Linked DNA regions of Diceros bicornis minor. The protein of the gene in region 3 purifies or fractionates together with the protein of the main gene of each other region. This does not show direct contact. Links are inferred from orthologs where the notes say so. Each region holds a gene or a part of one and is shown on either strand. Other genes may lie near its edges.

Region 1 (7,685 bases), on a different chromosome or scaffold from region 3:
AAACGAGTGGAGGAGTTGGGGCTCACCAGCTGGTTGATCTGGGAGAAGGAGGGGTTCTGGATGTGCAGGCGGTCTGTGGCGATCCGGTTCAGGGCTGTGTTGTCCAGCACCACCTCGGGGGACAGAAGAGGGTGACAGATTTATGGAGACAGAAAGAACAGCAGCTCTGCCTGAGCCTGGGTTCTGAAGCTTAATTTCCCTTGAGCCTCACAGCCAGAAAGACCCATCCAAAAGGGACTTGCACAGGACTGGGGCCCAAGAGGGCTGAAAGTGTTGAAAGAGACAGGGGGTGGGGGTGGGGAATGGTAGAATCCAGGACTCACCACACAGTCTGCGTTCTGGGTCAGCCTCTTGAGTGTGAGCAGCGAGTTGTAGGGCTGGACCACCACGTCGCTCATCTCGTCCTGGTTGGGAAACACTGAGTACGTCTGCACCAGCTTCTTGGGGTACCTAGTGGGGGTTGGGAGAAAAGGGTCAGGGCAACAGACTGGTGGCTTGGTGAACACGGGGCTCCCAGCAACTGTCTGGAAGCAGCTGATTTTGGATGGGGAAACTGGTATGGGGCCCCGGGGAGCAGTAGAGAAGGGAGACCTGACTTTTGGAAGTCTGTAACCCCAAAGGGGGAAGGGCAGAAAGACATCTTAGGATCTAGAGTTCCAACACCAAACCCCATACTCCCTGAACCTTCATCTCTTCATCTAGGGCCCAGATTCGAGGCTCCAGTTTCAACCCCTGGGAGTGTGATCGGGTTCTCAGTCACTCTATCTTGACTTTCCTCACTACAGAAGGGCCCTTTCCTGCTCCAGTGAATAGCAAGGTGTATCTGGAGGGCCTCCAAGTTACTTGGGAAACCAAGTCCTCCTAGCCCCTCAAAACACAGACTTACCTGTCATTCAGCCGTTCTAAGAGGTAGGAGCCCAGGCCAGAGCCTGTCCCCCCAGCGATGGAGTGACACAGCACGAAGCCCTACATGGGGAAGGGGCAGTCAGTGTCTAGGTATCTAGTGTCAGGATTTCAAACTGGACCCATCCCATAATTTCTTGGACTCCTATCTTGCCAAGTTCTCTCCTCCACTTCCCTCCCAACATATACAGCTGGGGAGACTCTGCCTTGTTTCCAGCAAGGCTTCTGTCCAGTGCAAAGCATACATGGGTGGGTCTTATTCCTAAAAGTGGCTTCTAAAGGGTGTTGCTGAGGCTTCCCTATGTCGGCTCCCACTACCATTCCTGAGACACACCTCCAGACTGTCACTGCCATCTGCCTCCCGGTCTATGATGTCAAAAATGTCCTCGTGGATCTTCTCTCCCTGTACAGATATGGGGAAGGTCAGAGCAAGACAGGACCATGGGACAAAGATTCTGACTCTCGATTCTCCTTATAGCACCTAAAAGTCTTTTTTTAGAGCACAGTGGCCCTGCTTTTTATTTGCATTGAGAAGCAGTATAGCACAGTGGTTATGGGCAGGCACTCTACATCCAGAAGGCCTGGGTTCATGTTTAGCCGAGGTGACTCTGAGCACGTTGTGATCTCTCTATACCTCAGTTCCCTCATCTGTATATGAAGGTAATAATACAGGTCCACTCTAAAATCCTTAAGGCCAGTTATGTTTCAGAATTCAAATTTTTCAGACTCTATAAAGGTAACATGGTACATATAATGTATGTTAAGTAAAATGCCAGTGGGAGTCTGAGGTGTGCTAATCAAATACATTAATATTTCTGTGATGAAAGGTATGAGAAATGACAGTAAATTGGATAGAAACTATAAAATAGCCTGTCTCCATTGAGATTGGGTTTTGTTGCTAAATGAGTTATAAATTGTCTTTTGGTTTCAGAGTTTTTTGGATTCTGGAAAGGTAGATAAGAGACTGTGGACCTGTACTACCTACCTCTTGAGTTGCTGGGAGGTTTAAATAAGTTAATATACGTAAAGCTCTTAGTACGGCCTGGCACACAGCACTAGCTAGTGGAGTCTCTTAACAATTTTACATAGTTGACTTAGAAAACAGAACTCCCTTAAGCCATCTCTCTCTCCCTCCAGCACTCATACATCCTTGATCTGGTTTCATCTCTCTCTGGGAAGTCATAGGGCCTGTCCCAACACAGGAAGGGTGTTGTGGGTCCTGCCAGGGAATAGCGAATGACCTGGGAGAATCCGCTGGCCCAGTTGTTGCCAGCCCCTCCTCCATGCTCTGACAGGTAGATGTTCTCTGGGTTGTAGAGCTTGGCATAGGGGGAGTTGAGGATGGAGTGGATCACCCGGGGCTCCAGGTCCAGCAGCACGGCCCTGGGGATGTAGTGCTCATCGTCTGCCTGTCAAGGGGAGTCCAGGAGGGGGCCCAATCAGCTAAGGCCAAGGCCCCCGTCCTCCCAGCTCTGCCTCCTCCCTGCCCTCCCTCCTCAAGCCAGCCGCCCTGGCTTCTCTGCCCAGCAGGTTTCCCAGCACCAGGCCGCTGCCTTCCCTTTAGGACCCCTGGCCAAGTCGCTGGGGGCACCTGGTAGAAAAAGACGTCCTTGCGGTCAGTGCCCTCGGTGGCAAACTCCTCCACGATGCCTTCGGGGCTGATACCATGCTCGGCGCACAGCTGTTTCCAGAACTCGAACCCAACTGGGCGGGGTGGGGGAGAGATGGACGGGGGAGAAAGAGGATACCTGGGTCTGGGCAGGTTCCAACTAGGAGCTTGGGGACTGAGCGCCTGGGTATAGAGACAGGAAGTCAAGCCTCAGGAGTCTCCCGTGTCAGAGGAAAGGGCTGTATGCCAGGACCGGGCAGGGGAGGGCCCCTCGGGGTTGGGCAACTGGACACTGGGTCAGGCATGTCCTGCCTTTCGGAGAACTACGATTCTGGGAAGGGCAGATGGAGTCCAGGATCCCACAGCGAGATCCCATAGAATCTGAGGAACCTGGCTAGTGGAGGGGCCGGAGGTTTGCTCACTCTGATTGCCGCACTGGCCCAACTGTAGGGTGATGATTTCCCTCGGCATCGCTCCTCAGGCACCGGCGTTGCAGCCTCTCCCGCCAGCAAAGCCGCCGCTAGCCAGCCCGCTCGCCGCACGACGCAGGCGCCAAACAACTCGCCCCGCCCACGAACTTTCTCCGCTCCAATGAGAACTGAGTTCTGGCGATGGCACTTCCTTATTCATTTGGCTTCAGTCATGCAGACTGCGCTTGCGCGGCTCCTGATCGGGCTGGGCGCAGGGGCGTGCTTTGACGCAGTGTTCTCTGGATGGACTCTCGTTCGAGTGTGTGCGCAGGCGCGTTGTGAAGGGAAGCAGCCTCCCCCGCCGAATCGCGCATCTGCGCAGTTGGTGTTATTGTGACTGTGGGGCCGCGGCCCCGGATGTTGTGGCTGCCGGGGGGCGATGGCGGAGGCAGAGGGGGTGGACGCGGCCCCAGGCCCAAGTTTGGGCCCGACGTTCACGGGCCGCCGCGCTATGTCAGGCTCCTGGGAGCGGGACCAGCAGGTTGAGGCGGCGCAGCGGGCCCTGGTGGAGGTGCTGGGGCCTTACGAGCCTCTGCTGAGCCGGGTGCAGGCAGCCCTGGTGTGGGAGCGGCCCGCCAGGAGCGCCCTGTGGTGCCTGGGGCTGAACGCGGCTTTCTGGTGAGAGAACTGGACCCTTGGAAACCCTCCGAGGCGGGAATTCGTCAGGTTTCTCTAGGGCTCTACCTCTCGCCTCCTCTGTTTTCTTCGCTGCGCTGGCTCCTTCCTGTACCTGCCTAATTTTGCCCCATCTCCTTCCACTTCTTCCCGCCTGCAGGCTTCGGCACCGCAGTTCTCCCCAGGTCTTCAGTTGTCTTCTCCGCTTTACTGCTCCCGCACCCTCGCCCCGCACATCAGGCAAGAGCTTCTGGTTACGTCTTGAGCCGCTCGCAGTGCGCGAGGGCGCCTCATTTTAGCCAGGGAAAGCTGTGTGCCTTGAAGGCCATAGCCTCCCTTCTCTTGTCTGCTCAAATGTGGTGAGGACTGTCTCCAGATTGTAGTAGTTATTATTGGGGTACACGCGTCAGGCGGTAGGTCTTGAAAAGGTATCCGGAGGTGTGATAGGAAAACCAGCTTGAACGATCTGAATTCGCGCGTTAGATCTTTCTTTCTCCCACTCTAGGAGGTTTGTGAAGTCTGAGCGTCACTAAGCGCGTCCAAAGCTGCAACTTGGAAGAAAATTATAAGCTTTTGAAGAACAGTTAGGAAATAGTGATTGTGCGATTTCACCCGTTTCAAAGCCTCTATGATTGCAACTCCTCCATGTTGCAAGGAATTAGCGAGGCATCCAGCCGCAGTTTATAGGCAAGGAAATTGAGGGTGTCTAATAGTGTGTAAGTTTTCCTGAGCTGGAAAAGTGCGGCTATAAATATGCTTTCAGAATCTGGATGTGTCATGCTCTGTGAAGATGAACTCCTGCTTCTCTCAGTTGTCATTACCTGGAGTGGACTTAGGTCTTCATAGGATCTGCCAGGCATAGTTTGGATTTATTCATAATTAGGGAAGTATTATTGATCTAATTCCAAGGGAGCTGAAGTATAGGGAGCTTCTACAACTGGATGAAATAAGGCTATTCTGGATAAGCCTGAAACAGCACAAAGTATGAGTTCGCAAAAAAAAAAAAAATTGTTTTTTGCTAAAAATAGCTTTCCTCTTGAAATTCTTGGTTTTAAAATCAAAACGTTTATTATTCTTTGTCTGAAAGAAGATTTTTAGTGAGCTGGAGCAAACCCAATAATTCCAAGTTCATTGGCAGGAAGACACAATGTTTAGCTGTTAAATTAATCCTCTCACAGTTTGAAGGAGACTCAGGTGAAAGGTGTCACAGCCATCTCTGACTTCCATAGTCTTTAACAAACTTGACGATAAACTTTTTCTACAGCATTCTTCATTTATTTTTGGTATTGCTTCTTCTTTGATCCCCAGGTACCTACTTCCGGTCTGTTGCTTTCTGTCAGAAACCCTTAACTGTAGCACCTCGTTCAGGAGTGTTTTCCAGAATGACCTTTTCTTCCTTTCCTCCCACCTCCCCATCCCAACCCCTAACCCTGGACCATCCAGTCAAAACTTCCTTTCCTACATTGGGATTGTACTCCTAGGAAAAAAGTGGGTCCTGAATAAACCAGTTTGTATCAAGATGTGAGTGGCTGATATATAAAATTCTTTTAAATGAATCCTGATAAGCCAAAGTTTTATTAATGCAAATGGATCAGTAGCATGTATGTTGTTATTTTTGAGGAGGGGACTTTCCACATGCCCCTTGCCTGAGAGAGAGTTTTGAAGTGGAATGTGGGGTTGAGGTCTGCACACAAGGAGCAGCTCTGCATAAGACACATCTTTAAATGTTACAGTTAGCTTTAATTTGCTGGCCCCCAACAGTGTTTACTTAAGTTTACTAATATGCTATGTTTAGAATCTCACTCAGATCTCCTTTTCCTACTCTGGGTCTCTGGAAGCATTGTTGTGATTGATCTTTATCTCTGGGATTTTCTGGTAGCTTGCGTGCTGTGTATCCAGAGCACAGTTACTCTTGTTATGTTCCCATCACACTTGAAATAGGTGGGGAGAGATACAGCAAAATGAAGGGTGCATCTCTTGAGACTGAAAGAGCAACTGGGTATGCCATTTATGGAGAGGACTTACACCTGTGAAGGGCACAGAATGACTGGAAGTGTTAAGTAAGGCCCCAGAGGCTAGGGTGGTTTGGCGTTGGAGTTCATGGGATTGTTTGTTTTAGGAAATGGGCTTCTTTGGGAGGTAGTTTGAAGTTCAAAATGAAAGTTAGACTTCACATTCCAGTAGCATCATATTGAATATGGGTGTTGACATTTCGCTTAGGAATGTCAAAGAGTGACTGTTTTGTTCTCAGACATTTTAAATGTTTAGGAAACATAGAAGGATCATTGGCTCAGGTCTGAGAGAAATCAAATCTGAAATATTTTATTTTTCTTTCATTATTTGTTTTGAATAATGATAAATCATTAACTGAGGTGTTTTATATATTTTGAGGTATTAGAAGATTGGATAGGAGTACAAAAAAATCATCAGAATTCAGGTAGGTAGCTCTTAACTTTCCATGTTCTGTATTCTTAGTCAACTGTACCTGTGAATGTGCCCTCTTACATCTTAAAAAAACAACAACATAAAAGACAAAGATAGATGTAGATGCCTTGCCACTGTAGTATTTCAAGGTTTTCACTCTTTTTTTTCAGGTTCCAGAGGAATTATGGGTATCATATCAGAGTTCTTCCAACCTATGTTGCTTCTATTCACTGATATGTTCTTGTCTCTAGGATAATAACAGAAATGTCAGGCGTTTCTCTCCAATAGCTTATATTTTCATTAGCCTCAACACCACCTATAAATGAGTGATTTGGGGGAAGAACAGCTGAGTCAGTGAGAGTGTATCCTCACAGGATCAGAAACGAACAGGTTCAGGTAACTTTTTGGTTTGACTCATACCTAGGAGATAGGGGAGGACAAAGGAGCCCTGGAAATGTGTGTGAACCCCAAGCCCTTCTATGAAGCGCATATGGTTCAAGGAGGGCTAGATGACTGCAAAGCTCCTTTCCAGTTTTTAACATTCTGTGATTCTAGATGATCTTTAAATTATTCTCTGTTGGGATCTGCTTTTACAGTCGCTAGTCTGAGTTAACCATACTATATTCTAGGGGATGTTATGGAATCTGTTGTTTTCACAATTGGAAAAAATAAGGTGTTTCCCCTCCCATCTCCGCAAAAATCTCCCCAAATCAATAAAATGACCTGAGAAATGATTAAAGGTATATAAAAATTCTTATTTGAAAGTTTAGAATTTGAATGAAAATGAAAAAGGAACAGGAAAAGGAAGGGAGGGCCCATTTAAGTAGAGACTTAGTGTTCTGTGAAAAAAAATCTACACATCAAATTTCAGATGAAATCTATTGAGCACACGTCTCTGATCATTGTTCTTGTTGCTTTTGGTAGCCAAGAAGATTCCCAAGGATGCCTTGGCTTGCTTTTTTTTGCCTCTCTTTTGCCAACAGTTTTTTATCTGTCCTAATTGTAAGGTTGGGTGCTTTTTGTCCATTAACATAAGGTAGGTTATTAGCAGCTAGCTGGTTTCATTTCTGGTTTTGTGCAAGCAACAACTGTCACTGCGTGAGATAGGTTGGGTTAATTTTTTTAATTCTAATTTACCAGTGACTGGCTGATTAACCAGACAGCCACAGTGCTGTACAATAATGGGCTTTCTGTCCCTATAGGATGGGGTGCTTTGTTCTGAAGTGCCACTGAGACAAGCTTACTCTGCAATAACAAAGGAACCCAGAAATAGTATCTTCTTTGAAAACAGTCATGTGATCTTTATTTTGTTTGTGATTATAGCATAAACTTTATGATTATAGCAAACTCTAATTTACCTGTGCTAACAGTGAGGATCCATAGTATAGTTAACCTCAAAAAAATTGTTTAGTTTTGGAATTTCTCATGATTTTTAGGGACACCAGATTGTTTTTCCAAGGAATATTTTATTTAGACTGATAATTAATTAGATTTTAGCCCATAATAAAGGGGATGGGTGGCTTACAAAAGGACAAAAAAGCCAAAAAATAGTAAATCAGTGGATATATAAAATTTCACTCTCATTAGTAATAAAAAATTCTAATGTAAATGGCAATGAGTTACTAATTTCTGCTTATTAGGTTTTTTTAAATGATAGTATTTAA
Region 2 (7,726 bases), on a different chromosome or scaffold from region 3:
AGCCAGACTGCCTGGGTTTGAATCCCTGAGTTGCCTCTTACTTGTTTGAAATCTTAGGCAAGTTACCATACCTCTCTGTGCCTCAGTTTTCATACCGATAAAGTGGAGACAATCATTGTGAAGATTAAATAAGCTAATACATGTAAATCACTTGTGCCAAGCACACAGCAAGTGCTTAATACACGTAAGCAATTTTTTATTATTAGGACATCTCTACCCAGTTAACAAGTGATACTCCCACTAAAATTGGCATTTTGAGCAGTGCTTGTTGGCCGAGTTTTAGAAAAGTTCAAGGTCTAGTTATTCTGAAACAGCAAACAATACTTTAATGTTACTGATACCATTTGGTACAAGCTACTTATATTAACAAGCACTCTCTACATTAGTGTTACTGAAGTCAAAATAGAAAATACAGGGGCCGGCCCGTGGCTTAGCAGTTAAGCGTGCGCGCTCTGCTACTGGGGGCCTGGGTGCGGATCCCAGGCGCGCACTGACGCTCCGCTTGTCCAGCCATGCTGAGGCGGCGTCCCACATACAGCAACTGGAAGGATGTGCAGCTATGACATACAACTATCTACTGGGGCTTTGGGGAGAAAAAGGGAAAAAAAAAATAGAAAATACAGAACCAGATCTGTAGCAAGGTCTTTATTAAACTCAATTGTTGGCGATTTAGTTTCAGCAAAACAATAATATATGTTAATCAGATCAGTGGTTCTCAATCAGGGGCAATTCTGCCCCCAAGGGTCATTCAGTAATGTCTGGAGATATTTTTGGGTTGCCACAACTTGGGGAGTACTACTGGCATCTGGTGAGTAGAGACCACAGATGCTGCGGAACATCCTACAACGCACAGGCCCACCCCCCCCCACAACAAAGAATTAATTATCCAGTCCAAAATGTCAACACTGCCAAGGTTGAGAAACTCTGCATTAGGTTAATGTTAATTTGAAGTTATCGATTGGGTAGTTCTGTTTACTTTGTAAAAATATTTCTTTTTATAGTTATTTAAGAGCTATATGTTTGATTTTATACTTAGCTTAATGTGTATACATATTCAGTATTACAATAAGATGATTTTGATCAACATTGGGCATTCCTGACAACTTTTCCCTTTATTCGAATGTGAAAAATACTTCTCTGCAGAAAGTATGTAACATTTGCTGGTTTTGGTGATCTTCTTTTCTTCTACAAATATCTGAACACCTACTACGTGGCAGAAATTGTGCTGGGTGCTCTGGGTAGATCAGTAAAGACCACTGTGGTCTTTGCCCCCGTGAGCAATCTATGTGAGAAAAAGACTATAAACAAGTAACAACAATAAATAATATGAATTGTGCTAAGTCCTATAAGGGAAACAAACAAGTTTCTGTGATAGAGAATAATGGCAATATGGGGAGGATACTCAAAGAGGTGGTCAGAGAAAGCTTTTCTGAGGAGGTGACTTTAAAGCTGAGATCTTGAGGAGGAAAATATCTGATTGAGACCTTTTTATAAGAAAGGAAAGCAGCTATCTTTCCTATACTCTGATATTTCCTTTTACTTCAGACACTCAAGCACCCACAAATACTTCCTGAACATTTTCCTCCTATCTGCTTGGCACTATGCTAGTTTTGCGGGGGAAAATAAACAATAACCAGAGGAATCTATTTGATTGGTAGATTTTATAGACTAAGAATGTAATTTTTCTGCTCTTCCACAGCCTATACTGCCAATTCTCATAGGAAAAGGTATGATTTTGTGATCAGACAGAGCTAGATTCAAATCTTGCCATTACTAGGACTAGCTACCATAAAGTTCTCTGAGCTTCAGTTTGCTCATTTGTAAACTGGGGCTAACAATACCTAAGTTATTAAATTATTGAGAATTAGATAACATTGCTGAAAGCAGAAGTAGAAAAGAGTAGTTCAGATACTGGAGCCAGACAGACCTGGGTTCAAGATCAAGCTCGCAAATTACTAGCTACACGGACACTGGGAGTTAATCTGTGAAATGGAGATAGGTGATTGTGAAGATTAAATGAGATAATGCATATGGTACATAGCCCTTCCTCTTCATACATTCCTAGTTACACGAAGGCCCCCTTCCAAATTCTCCTAGTGCAGAAATTTCCTGGAAAAGGAGTAATGAGGGAAACACTCTCATTTATTCTTTCATTCAACGAAATTTGCTGAACCTTTATTGTGTGTTAAGCGCTATGTATGTGGACTAGCTTTCAAAACTCAGTTTAAAACAGAGTGCAAACGTGAAAATGGGAGAAGCTGCCTCCCTCATTTTACGTCCAGTTCCCCAGGCACTCTCTTTCAGACACCTCCACCTCAGGCCGGGTCCCGGGCTCCCTCCTTCTCCCGGAAGGCATGGCCCGTCGAGGTCTGCCCTCCGTTCCCCAGCCTAGGCCCAGCCTTCTCAGGGTGTCTACAACACCCGTAGGCTCCTCAGGCACTGCCCTACAGTTACCTGCCCAGGGACACGCCCCCCGAATGCCTCAGCCCCCGCAAGCCCCGCCCCCTCGGTCCCTCAGACTCCTCCCCAAGCATTGGCAGGTCCACCCATTCTGCACTAGCTAGTTCCCGCGCTCTGAGCCGGACAGTACCTGGAGGCCATTACGCTTGTTCCAGGTGAAAATGGACCCTGGGTACCCGCTCAGAGCCAAGAGCAGTTCGTGGATCATTCCGACGGCGGACCTCGAGTCACTATATCCGCCGCCCCCTCCTCCAGCACCTCTCCAGGAGACCTCGGAGGCGAGTGCCCCTTCCCGACCCGCGCACAAGCCCCTGGGACGGGCGGTTCCCCCCGAATCTACCCGCCAAGACAATTGCTGCTGGAGGTGCGGAGGGGAAGCGGGGAAGAGGTCGGCGCGCCGGGTCCCGGAAGTGTGCGGCGCTCGGCTAGGCCCACTCGCTCGCTGCCGCCGGCTCTCCACACGAGAGGAGTCGCTGTGTCTGACCTTGCGCATGCGCCGTCAGCGCCCGAGTCGCTCGCTCGGACTTCCGGTTTGGGAGCCGGACTGGGAGGCTGGTAGAGCCCGAGCTGGGGCCGGACCCCGAGTTGGTGAGGCTGGCCCCGGGGCAGAGATGTGAGCGGGTTGAGGGACACCCCGAGAGGGAGACGCTCCCAGGGGTGAGCCGGAGGGTGCTCTCAGGGCGCTTTAGCCCCGTCGGAGGCCTCTGGAGGGACTGCACGATGGCTCCGAGAGTGCCCTGGCCGGAGGGAGCGAAGACAAAGAGGCCGGAACCTCGCACGCGCCGTTCCTTGAGCTGAGCTCCGCGCTCGCGAACCCCGCAGCGCTCGGAGCCCTGGCCAGCACCCAAGCTCGTCCTCAGGAGACACATTACTACTGCCCCCTCGGACTTCCTCTCTCCACGACCTCAGTGACTCTCCCCGAGCCCACCTGGCCCTCGCTTCGGGAGCCAAAACCAACTTCTCCCAATGCGCCAGGTTTCCCGTCAGTAGTTCCTGAATATTTGCCGAGCGGTTACTTCTGCTGTGAGGGAAAACAAAGACCCAGTATTCAGTACTTGATTTTCGTCTGGGGTGGGAATTGGTAGTTGTGGAGTCTGAGGGGCCGGGGCGGACGTAGGGGCCTCGGGAAGGACTGCGGAGGTACTGGGGGAGATCAGCTGCGACCCGCTGGACAGAGGCTTTTTGTTGCCTTCAGCAGGATGGTGACCTCCTTGTAGATCCTTTCGAGCTCCAGGTCTCCCATATGGTTCACTATGCAGCATTGGTGACGGGAGCAAAATGGGATCAGATTTGGGGGAGGTGGAGGAGGAGCAGGCAGTACTTTCTATTCTCTGCTGCTTGCCGGGGCTGCCCTGAAAGTCACCCAGAAATGGAGTTTTTGCAAGGTCTCTCTCCTTCATGCTGTTTTGCCTTGCTGTCCTGAAGTTGGTGCTACCTCAGGTGGCCACGTAGAGCATAAGGGAAGTCAGCCCAGATCTGGCAAGACTTTAGACATGAGTATATTCCTTCTGATAGTTCCATCTCTCTCTACCCTAGGAAGAAACTCTTCTTAACAGAGGGAGACTCATCTGCAGGTGATTCTCCAAGGACATGGGAAGATAGGTGCAAACCCTGGAACCCTGACCCTTAAGCGGAGGGAAGCTGGTTTCTGCTGTGAACGATGGCCAAACCCACTCTGAGAGGGAATGGCACTAACTCGGAGACCTTCCGACAGCGCTTCAGGAGATTTCATTACCTGGAGGTAGCTGGGCCCCGGGAGGCTTTCAGCCAACTCTGGGAACTTTGCTGCCGGTGGCTAAGGCCGGAGGTGCGCACCAAGGAGCAGATTGTAGAATTGTTGGTGCTAGAGCAGTTCCTGACCGTCTTACCTGGGGAGATCCAGAATTGGGTACAGGAGCAATGTCCAGAGAGTGGAGAGGAGGCAGTGGCTCTGGTGGAAGATTTAGAAAGACAGCCTGGAAGACCTGGACGTTCGGTGAGACGGGAGAGGGAATTCACAAGTGTGTGACTGGGAAGGGGCAAGGATAAAGGGCCAAATTAAGGTATAGACAGGTTTAAAGAGGGGCACAATCTCCTTTGGTGATGCTTCTGGTCCTGGAACAGGTAACTTGTTCAGACAGAGCTTATCTGGGTGTACCTTTGCTACACCCTGTCACAATGAGTTATATGTACTTTCATAGTTTAATAGGGAAGGGGAATTTTTTTCAGCCTGTAGTTGGGTTTACTATTTTTATCTTTTCCTTCTGGAGTTCCAGCTGCTCTAAGTAACAGTAATGGAATAAGACAGACCTTTGTTCACTATTAACCACCCCCCCAACCCTAGCCATGTCTCAAAGGATGATCTCTTTTGGAGTATTAAATAATCTTCTCTGGGAATGCCCCTCATTATGACCTTGCAGTGACAATTAACGGGGGTTGTTTCTAGGTCACAGTCTCTGTGAAGGGGCAGGAAGTGCGCTTGGAGAAGATGACACCCCTGAAATCATCACAAGAGTTATTAATTGTTCGGCAGGAGTCAGTGGAACCCCAGCCCAGGGGTGTACCCAAGAAAGAGAGGGCAAGAAGCCCAGACCTGGGACCACAGGAGCAGATGAATCCAAAGGAGAAGCTCAGACCTTTTCAAAGGAGCGGTGAGGAGTAGATTCATATGGGAAGATAGGATGCCATTCTAAGTTGGGAAGTAGGGTTGGGCATAGGAGTGGGAAAGGGATTGCAGGAATGAGTGGAAATTGTAGAGTATGTGGTTGTTGGGGACCTCCTGAAGGCATGTAGTTTAGCCCTCTGCTGCAGTAAGTATTCTTATATTTCCTCTTGATAAGTCTGCAAGAGGATGGCTTCCCAGTTTTTATCAGAACTTGGAACTATTTTACTTCCTGTTGGTAATGATACTAGGTCAGTATTTTCTAGATAAAAATTCTTTTCTGTACTTGAAGGCACATCTTTCTTTCAGTCATTTTCCTTCTCCAAATTAAACTATATTTGTTTCTTTAAGCTTTCCCCTAGAAGCTCCACTCTTCAGACCTACTAAGTTTTTGTTACTCTTCCTTGGAACCTTTCAGTTCTCCAAATATATTAACTGTGGAGAACTAAATTATGTATTCCAGTGAGGGTCTGGTAGGTACAGGCAGAGTAAGAATTTTATTTCAGTTTCACTACATTTTCTTTCAGTATAGCTCAAAAAAATTATTTAATGACTACTGTTCACTTGGTAACTCCCAGGATGCTTACAGCCTTCCCCAGTGTCTTTGTGCCTAGTGCTTATTCTTATACTTGATTTTATAGAACTTGTTTTTCTTCTTTGTACTCTGTTAAACTCCATTTTGTATGTTTTCTTTGATCATTTCTTTAACTTGTTGGGGTTGTTTTGAATTCTGATCTTATCATCTAAGACACTAGCTTTCTCAGCCAGTTTGGTAATGGTCTCTGTTTAGTCATCCAGATGCAATCTCTCAACCCCATACACAGACTTGCAGAATGAATCAGTTTTTGAACACCATGTGCTGAACACCTTGTAGGGTACTCTGCAATAAGAAAAGGTGCCTATCCTTAAAGAGTTTACAATATAATTGAGAACGTAACAGCAAACATAAATATGTGCCTAACCGAACTGTACCAAAACACCACCAAACCATGATTTGTTACTCAATTGTGTGAGTACAGTAGGGGATTGGCGGAGTGGGAGATGAGGGAGGGCTGTAGGGAAGGCTTCATGGGGGCATTGGCAAATACAGCTTCTTGAAGGGTGGATTAAATTTGGATAGGAGAAAGGGAGTTAAAGGAAAGGCAGAGAGTGGTGAATAAATGTGTCCTGTGTTCTGGAGAGGAGAGTCTGGTAGGAATGGACAGTGCATGGTAGGCACTCAGGTTAACGTTCAGCAGTATAGCATGTTACCTGAGGAAGCAAGAACTTGGAGTGAGGTCGGATAGTAACTGCTGCAGTTATCCAGGTGTGAGAGGATAAGGAGTCTAGACTTGGATGGTGGCAGTAGGAGTAAAGGACATACTAAGGGAAAAACTTTTAGAACTTGGTTACTGAGTGTGAAGGCAACAAATGAGTTGAAGAGTCTCCCCTCCGCTCCCCTCCCCTTTGGAATCACTCAGAGTTTAATTCTCTAGTCCCAAGTGGAGAACTATAGAGACAGAAGGTGACTGTTCCCAGCAGTGCCAGAACCTTCCTACAAGTGGTCAGGAGGGCTAGGGAGCAACTTGGAACAAAAGTATCTGCTCTGAACACACCACAGAACCTTTTCCTCTCTTGTCACTTTGCTCTGGAAAATAAAATATTTCTCATTTTTTGAAGTTTCATGTATTTTCCCCACTTTCTCCAACTCATTGAACTTTCTGAAAACATTTCCTTAGACACTTTCTTATAAGCTTCTTGGATAAAAAAGGCAGGTCTGAACTCAGAGATGTTTTTTATGATCCATCCAAACTATGATATCCTTTGTTTGCTTCCTGCAAGCAGGATTTCCATTTCCTAAATCCGGTGTGGTCTCCAGGTTGGAGCAAGGAGAGCCATGGATCCCAGATTTGGGCTCCAAGGAGAAGGAACTCCCAAGAGGCAGTCACACAGGAGACAGACGAATGCATGCTGATCCGTTACCATCCAGGAGAGAGAGAAGAAGCTGGGTGGAGCAGGATCACTGGGGCTTTGAGGATGAGAAGGTGGCAGGTGTGCACTGGGGCTATGAAGAGACCAGAACTCTCCTCGCGATTCTCAGTCAGACTGAGTTTTATGAGGCTCTTCGAAACTGTCACCGCAACAGCCAAGTATATGGGGCTGTGGCTGAGCGGCTCCGAGAGTATGGCTTCCTCCGGACCCTGGAACAGTGTCGGACCAAGTTCAAAGGTCTCCAGAAGAGCTATCGGAAAGTCAAGGGTGGCCACCCACCTGAGACCTGCCCCTTCTTTGAAGAGATGGAAGCCCTGATGAGTGCCCAGGTCATCGCCCTGCCCAGTAACGGCTTGGAAGAGGCAGCTTCTCACTCTGGCCTGGTGGGCAGTGATGCTGAGACTGAGGAGCCAGGGCAAGGGGTCTGGCAGCATGAGGAAGGAGAAGAGGCCATGGCTGAAGAGTCTGACAGTGATGAAATGGGCCAGGAGGCCACCCCACAGGACCCTGACAACTTGACTGTTCTTTTCCGAAGGCCAAGTGGTAAGAAGCTTCTCAGGTTTTGGGATTAGATTGAGGAGTTATGAGACTGGATGTGGAGTCAGGAAGCTTAATGTCACTTGCCAGCTTTGTCACTTTAGTAGAGAACAAAGG
Region 3 (7,450 bases):
CCCAGGCAAGTGCTACACTGCTTTCTGTCATTATGGATTAGTTTGCATTCAATCCAGATTGATATCAGCTGTAGGTGCTCTGACTGTCTTTTTTTAAAAATTGTTTTGGCTAGGTTATTTGCATTCCAATATAAATTTTTCAATTAGCCTGTCAATTTGCACACACTCAAAATAAACCTGTTGGAGTTTTGTGGAGATTAAGTTGAATGCATAGATTACTCTGGAAAAAATTGACATTCTAGCAATATTGTTTTCCATCTCGTTAATATGGTACAGCTCTCTATTTATTTAGGTCTTTAACTCCTCTCAGCAATGTGTTACAGTTTTCAAAGTATGGTTATTGTGCATATTTCATTAAATTAACTGTAAGTATTTCATGCTTTTGGGTGCTATTGAAAATGTAACTGTAATTTTTATTTCATTTTCCAATTGTTTATTGCTAGCATACAGAAATACTACTTTATTTTTGTATATTGACTTTGCATAGGCCTTGCTAAATTTACTTGTTGGTTCTAGGAGCTTTTTTCTGTATTCCTTATGATTTTCTAGTACACAATCATATGTCTGCAAATAGAGTTTTACTTCTTCTTTTGCATTCTATATGCTTTTTATTTTTTGTCTTATTGTATTGGCTAGGGCTTCCAGAAGAATGTTGAATAGTAGTAATGAGACTGGGCATCTTTGTGTTGTTCTCCATCTTAGGAGAAAAGCATTCAGTCTTTTACAATTAAGTATGGTGCTCCTTGTGGCCTTTCACAGATGTTCTTGAACCTGTTGAAGATGTTTCTTCCCTTTTTTTCCTAGTGTGCTGAGTTACTAATCATGAACGGATGCTGAATTTTTTCAAATGCTTTTGCTTTACCTATTGATATAATGATATGGCTATTCTCCTTTATTTTGTTAATATAGTGAATTATGTTAATTGATTTTCGAATGTTAAACCTACCTTGCATTTCTGGAATAAACTTTATTTGGTCATGATGGATCATAATTCTTTTATGTTGCTGCATTTAATTTGCATATATATATAATTTTTGTCTCTATGTATGAGAAATATGAGTCTATAGTTATTTCTTGTAAGGTCTTTGTCTGGTTTTAGCATCAGGGTAATAGTGTCCTTAAAAACAATAAGTTTAGGATATATTCCCTCCTCTTCTGTTTTTGGAAAAAATTTGTATTGGATTGGTATTATTTTTTCCTTATGTGTTTGATAGACTTCAATAGTGAAGCCACCTGATCCTGGGGTTTTCTTTGTGGGAAAGTTTTCTTAATTACAAATTCAATTTCTGTAGTACATATAGGACTATTCATGTTATCCATTTCTTCTTGTGTCAGTTTCAATATTTGTGTCTTCAAGATATTTGTCCATTTAAGTTACCAAATTAATCGGCATAAAGTTGTTCAAACTATTCCCTTATTATCTTTTTAAATATCTTTTGGTTCTGTACTGATGGCTTGCCTCTCTTTCAATCCTCATACTGGTATTTTGTGTTTTCTCTTTCTTCTTGATAAGTCTAGCAAGAGGTTTATCAATTTTATTAATCATTTCAAAGAATCAGATTCTGGTTTCATTAATTTTTCTCTGCTGTTGATCTGTTTTCATTTTCATTGTTCTCTACCCTAGTTTTTACTTTTTGTTTAATTTGCTCTTCTTTTTCTGGCTTCCTTATTGATATTGGACCTTTCTTTTTTTTCCATAATATAGACATTTAAACCTATATGTTTGTCTAGAAGCACTGCTTTGATGAATTCCATAAATTTTTATATGTTGCATTTTACTTATCATCATTTGAATATTTTCTAATTTATTTGCGATTTGATTTTTTCTTTGATCTATGAGTTGTTTAGAAGTAAAGTTGTTTAAATTTCAGATGTTTGGGGCTTTTCTAGATGCTTTATTGTTTTCTATTTAATTGTACTGTGATCAGAGAATATACTCTGTAAGATTTATTTGCTTAAAATCTATTGAGACTTGTTCTACGGCCCAGCATGTGGTCTATCTTTGTAAATATTCCATGTATATTTGAAAAGAATGTTTATCCTGCAGAGGTTGGGTATAGTGTTCTATAAACGTCAATTAAAATAGTTGATAAAGTTCAGATCTAGCACGTCTTTACTGATTTTTTTTTCTTATCTGGATGTTCTATCAATTACTGAGAGAATTCTGCTAAAGTCTCCAACAATGATTATGGATGTGACTTTTTCTCCTTCAGCTCTGACATTTATTCTTCATATACTTTAAATGTTTTTTTTTAAAGATTTTATTTATTTATTTTTTCCCCCCAAAGCCCCAGTAGATAGTTGTATGTCGTAGTTGCACATCATTCTAGTTGCTGTATGTGGGATGCAGCCTCAGAATGGCTGGAGAAGCGGTGCGTCGGTGTGCGCCCAGGATCCGAACCCGGGACGCCAGCAGCGGAGCGCGCGCACTTAACCGCTAAGCCACAGGGCCGGCCCTATTCTTCATATATTTTAAACTTCTGTTATTGGTCACATATATATTGATATGGCTTCTGGTTTTATTGACCATTTTTTTGTTGTGAAATATCCCTCTTTGTCTCTAGAAATATACCTAGTCTTGATGTTTACTTTGGGAAAGCTGTATATGTTTATATAATTCATATATTAGTGAGGATTCCAACATTTGGCTTCTATTGCTTGTAGACTGTATTATAAAGAACTAGGAAACAGAATGCACATAGACACAGAGGTAGGAACAAGAATGTCAGAACTGTGTAAGGTCTGATGAGGCTGTGGTACCAGCAGGGAGGAAGGAGTGAAGGTTGACATTTGGCCCTTTATGCTGTGTTCTGGCTCTTGACTATATAGCATAATGGTTGAGAGCACAGTCTTTGTAATATTCTGGTTCTGGATTTAACTCCTGTGCATACCATTTCTTAACTGTGTGACCTTGGGAAAGATACTTAACCTCTGTTTCTTCACATGTAAAGTGGGGACATAGTACATACACGTTTTTAGAAAGATGAAATTATATATATATATATATATATATATATATATATATATGTAGTATACCTGTACACATTATATACATATCTATGTGCTTAGCGAATTATGTGCTTAATAAATAATATCTATGTGTTATTTGTTATTATATTACATAATATGTATATATTATATGGTATGCAGTATTATATCATATATTGTTTCATATATTCTAGTCTCTATTTTCCTGCTGGCTTCAATTTTTCAGAGATTTAGTTCATTGTTTTTTCCTTATTTGCCCTGATTCTCCCTGCACCCTCTCTCTTAACTTCTTTTCTTATTTCTGAACTTTTTGGGCCCCATCCTTGCTGAAATTGGATTTAATAACCTCAAGAACTATGAACTATACAATGAAGGAAGTTGCTGCTCGCTATCTTTCTCCTTTTGAGGCTCCCCATCAATCTTTAAAACTTAGCCAGAACTTCAATTTCTGCTCTGCAAAAATTGCACTTACCAGTTTTCTAGTTATTTGCAATACGTGTGCAAATAACTGGGGCTTATATACCTAGATCAGAAACACATTCTGAGTATATACTTGTGATGAAAGAATAATAACACTGTTTTCAGAAGAAAAGCCGTATATTTATTGTAAGTATTCTTAGCAACCATTGCCAGTAAAACTTAAAAAAAAGTCTCTGGTAGAACGGGCATTTGAAAATTCAGTTCAACTCCTTTTTCCACTCTGAGAAGCATCCCCTTCAAAAGAATTCCCAACCAAACGGTGTTTGATGTTCCCGACCCGGCAGCATGATTCAGAAGAAAAATCATAGGTTTTGAAGTCGGATAGTTTAGATATTTACGCTTTCTGTTATTGCCTAGCTTTTCTGAGCACGTCCCCTGGTTTGTAAATTGCCTGGCGTATTATCTGCTCTCCATGGTTTCCTCTTCAGGGAAGTCTTTCCTAAACCCACATCTACGTTCATTCCCCTTTTGTATGTCTCGTACCTTTCCTTTGAAGCCATTGTCAGTTTCACTTTTCATTTAAGTACGTAACTATTTATTAACGTCCGCCTCCTATACTGGGCTGTAAGGCCCCGGAGGCCGGGACCACAAGCGTTCACTGTACCCCGGTATTCCCAGGCTAAAGAAATCACGGTGCACCCAGAGTCTAGCATGGAGCCTGGCATACAGTTGGCAGTTAGCGAACAAATGAATTTCAAAGAAGCAGCTGTCTGCGGCCCAAGTGCCACCGCTAGGGCAAGGAGGGAGCCGCCCAAGGCCGCAGTTCCCGCCCTGGCGCGGGGAGAAGGACCCCCGCGGAGGCCTAGCACCGCCCCTGGCCCTACCCCGCCAACCCGAGGCCCCGCTTCGGGCAGCGCCCCTCCTCGTGACGCCACTCGGGGGCGGGACTTCCGGCCGCCGAAGTTTAACAGTCCAGGCGGGAGCCGGAAGCCCAGCGCCGGAGCGGGCCGCGCCGTGGCCCGCGGTGTCCCGCTGCCGAGAGGTGAGGTTCCGGAGGGCCTGGGGTCAGCGGGCCGCCGCCCGCCGTGTCCTTGCACACTCCTGAGCCCCGTCCGCCCTCCGGCCACCTCGGGGAGCTGGCCAGAGGTCCCGGGGCTCCGCGCCCCCCGCCCAGTGCGGCGCCCCGGACGGTTGCTGGGCGGAGGCGCGGCCGCGGGATTGGCGCGGAAGTGCCTGGAGCCGCGGGCCGGGGTCGCGCGCCGCCTCCTGCGAGGCCTCGGGCCCGGCCTGAGGGGCGGCCCGGTCCGCGGGGGTAGGTCGGCGGCGGCTCTGGGGGGGCCGCCTCCGGAGAGTGTGCCGCTTCGCCGCAGTCCGCTCCCTTTTTGTAAACCTCTCCAGTAGGACTCGGATGCATTTTATAAGGTCGCCCCAGTCGCGCAGTTCTCCTGCAAGTAAAGTGCAGATTTGGTGAAGGAAAGTTGGAGAACTTTTGTTTGTTTGAGCTGAGTGTTGTGGCGGAATTTGTTCTTGTGGCCGCTGTCCCCGGATCCGGGGCGGGCCGTCTGGGACCGCCCTGTGTCCTGACAGCTCCTTTCGACGGGGGCCTCTTGGAGAGCTGATGTCATGCCCTTCCCTTAAATGCGCTCGAGTCTCAGAAGACCGAGGTGGGTGGGCAGACGGTCCCCTTTGCCGCTCCACCTTCAGAGAAGGAAACAGACATGAAGTGACTCGGCCAGAGTCACTGTCACCTAACTCTGGGGCAGATCGTGTGAACCCACTTGTTCTGAGCCCTGGCTTTAAGTGATCCTTCTGCGACACCACACCGCTCAGCAGGACTGGTGTAAGATTATGGCAGAGCCATCTTTCAGTCGTGTTTGCTGGGTTCAGAGATCGCCTTTCCAGCACTTCATTGTTCCTTGAGTAGGAACCAAAAGGGCACGTGTTAACACAGGCCAGGCACCAGATCCAAACACTTTGCTTTTCAACAGATGACTGTACCGGCTTTTAGTAGCACCCTGTTTATCTGATAAATGATGTGTAATGAATCACAAAAGTGACTTTTCTAGTTAACAAAAGTTTTAGCCTTTTTTTAAGCACATAAAAAAGTTTTTTTTGTCTCTGGAGAATCAAAGGGCCCTATAATTTATACCTTGAATTTGTCCTCTGAAATAGGGTATATTGGACGTGAATGTGATGTTTTGTTGATGACTTGGGAACCTGTCTGTGACATCACTAATGCTGTGCTATTCTCTTGCACTCTTTACACCAGGAAGGTGTGTAGGGTATAGTTCTCCGCCCCCTGCCCTTGCTCTTTCTCCCGTGTGTTTTTGAGCATTTTTTCTGACCTGTCATGCGTTACTCCTTGCTGCTTTTTAAAGACACTTTAGTCTGCCTGGAGCAGCTTCCTTGCCTTCTCTCCTTTCACAAACCTTCTGTCTTGCCTTGGTTTGTGAAATCACTGTGTCAGAGTTATGTGTTTGAACTATATACTGTGAATAAGTAATATGAGCCAGGGTGTTGTAGACCGAGTATTGGTATAGGGACTTAGCGACATCTCCTGTGGCTATATTTGCTAATTTTGAAGTTACTTGGAAGAAGTAGAGTGACTGGATTCTGACCTGCAGGGGTGCTACAGTTTATCATACGTTTCTGAAAAGATTAGGAAAGGTTACCTATCCAACAGTTACTTGTTGAGTACCTACTGTGTGCCAGGAATGTTTCAAGACGGGTGGTGTACAAGACAAAATCTCTGTCCTCGGCATCTTTGTTTTGTTCCAAGTCAGAGGAGTCATACATTATTATGAGAACAAATAATTGAAGATAGCAGGAAGTGCCATGAAAAAAATGAAACAGGGTAATGGGATATAAGGCAGCTGGTGTGGGGCTGCTCTAGTCCTGGTGGTTGGGAAAGGCCATTCTGAAGGAGGAGACAAGAGCTGAGACTGGAATGATGTGAAGGAGATGAGCGTGGGAAATCTGGGGAAAGAGCATTCCAGGCCAGGGGGCAGCAAATGGAAAGACATCAGGCAAGAAAGAAGGCCATTGAGTCTGGTAGGCCCCCGGAGAAGAGAGACAGGAGAGTTACACCGGGGCCGGGTCATGTAGAGCACGCTAAGGAGGTTGGATTTCATTATAATTGTGCTGAGGAGAGCCATTGGAAGGGTCAACTAAGAGATTGTGATCCGGTTTTCCTTTTAGAATTTTAGAAAGAAAGATCACTGCAGTTACTTGGTGGTGAGCATCCTCTCTGGGACAAAAGTAGACAAGCAGAGCCACTTGTTTTAGATTAGATGCTTCATTTTAAGTTTTTTTTTTGCCTATCCTTAATTTTTTTTAAAATATATTGTTTTAAACCACTTGTAGGTGCAGCCATGCAGGAAAACCTCAGATTTGCTTCATCGGGAGATGATGTTAAAATATGGGATGCTTCATCTATGACGTTGGTGGATAAATTCAACCCACACACATCACCACATGGAATCAGCTCAATATGTTGGAGCAGCAATAGTATCCTTTTTTTTTTTTTAAGCAACTGCTTTCTGTTAGGTTAAACAAACAGTTTCTATGAAATTTTTGCATGTGACACATGAGAAATATATTTTGCATCACTGTGAAAGATAAATAGATAAAGTGAAATAGGAGTTTAATAAACAGTACATCATATGAATGCACACTGATATTCTGTTGATTTCATTTTTAAAAATTTTAGTTGCAACCCACTCTATTGTAAAACATTGCTATAAAAAATATATATATATATAAGCTACTAGATCTAGACCATAGAATTAGTCTTGTTATCAACAGTTTGTTATTGAATCAAGCGGAATAAGGTAGGTAATGGTGGGAAAAATTCTGAAAGGTTTTGAATGGGTTTTGGCATCTACATTTGGATATTTGTGGATCTGGTCTGGAAATTAAAGACAGAACTCAAAGGCAGAAGCAGAGGTAGGGGGAAGAGATAAAAGTTAGAAGTGTCCAACATCCCCATTTTACTGATGTACTCTCTGTATTTCTCTTCCTTTCTATGATGAAAATAGTCTCA

The links. Proteins that work in one complex are often made in the same cells at the same time.
Region 1: the proteins of NEDD1 (region 3) and TUBG1 purify together in Homo sapiens (affinity purification with mass spectrometry; 5 studies listed by BioGRID and IntAct, with this or other methods). This does not show direct contact. The link is inferred for Diceros bicornis minor from reciprocal best matches to the Homo sapiens genes NEDD1 and TUBG1.
Region 2: the proteins of NEDD1 (region 3) and TUBGCP4 purify together in Homo sapiens (affinity purification with mass spectrometry; 3 studies listed by BioGRID and IntAct, with this or other methods). This does not show direct contact. The link is inferred for Diceros bicornis minor from reciprocal best matches to the Homo sapiens genes NEDD1 and TUBGCP4.

The regions. Positions count from the first base shown.
Region 1 is NC_080757.1:41,681,564-41,689,248, reverse strand, and holds the start of TUBG1 (tubulin gamma-1 chain), read right to left. Parts: upstream 3,038-7,685; 5' UTR 2,984-3,037; coding exon 2,935-2,983; intron 2,608-2,934; coding exon 2,495-2,607; intron 2,313-2,494; coding exon 2,145-2,312; intron 1,307-2,144; coding exon 1,238-1,306; intron 967-1,237; coding exon 887-966; intron 451-886; coding exon 324-450; intron 114-323; coding exon 27-113; intron 1-26. Other genes in the region: RETREG3 (reticulophagy regulator 3), read left to right, coding at 3,362-3,600. UniProt on the Homo sapiens protein: Tubulin is the major constituent of microtubules, protein filaments consisting of alpha- and beta-tubulin heterodimers. Gamma-tubulin is a key component of the gamma-tubulin ring complex (gTuRC) which mediates microtubule nucleation.
Region 2 is NC_080744.1:40,804,579-40,812,304, reverse strand, and holds the start of TUBGCP4 (gamma-tubulin complex component 4), read right to left. Parts: upstream 3,038-7,726; 5' UTR 2,954-3,037; coding exon 2,591-2,953; intron 1-2,590. Other genes in the region: ZSCAN29 (zinc finger and SCAN domain-containing protein 29), read left to right, coding at 4,121-4,435, 4,886-5,090, 6,926-7,615. UniProt on the Homo sapiens protein: Component of the gamma-tubulin ring complex (gTuRC) which mediates microtubule nucleation.
Region 3 is NC_080764.1:25,698,879-25,706,328, reverse strand, and holds the start of NEDD1 (protein NEDD1), read left to right. Parts: upstream 1-4,396; 5' UTR 4,397-4,450; intron 4,451-4,803; exon of another isoform or gene 4,804-5,681; intron 5,682-6,771; 5' UTR 6,772-6,779; coding exon 6,780-6,915; intron 6,916-7,450. UniProt on the Homo sapiens protein: Required for mitosis progression. Promotes the nucleation of microtubules from the spindle.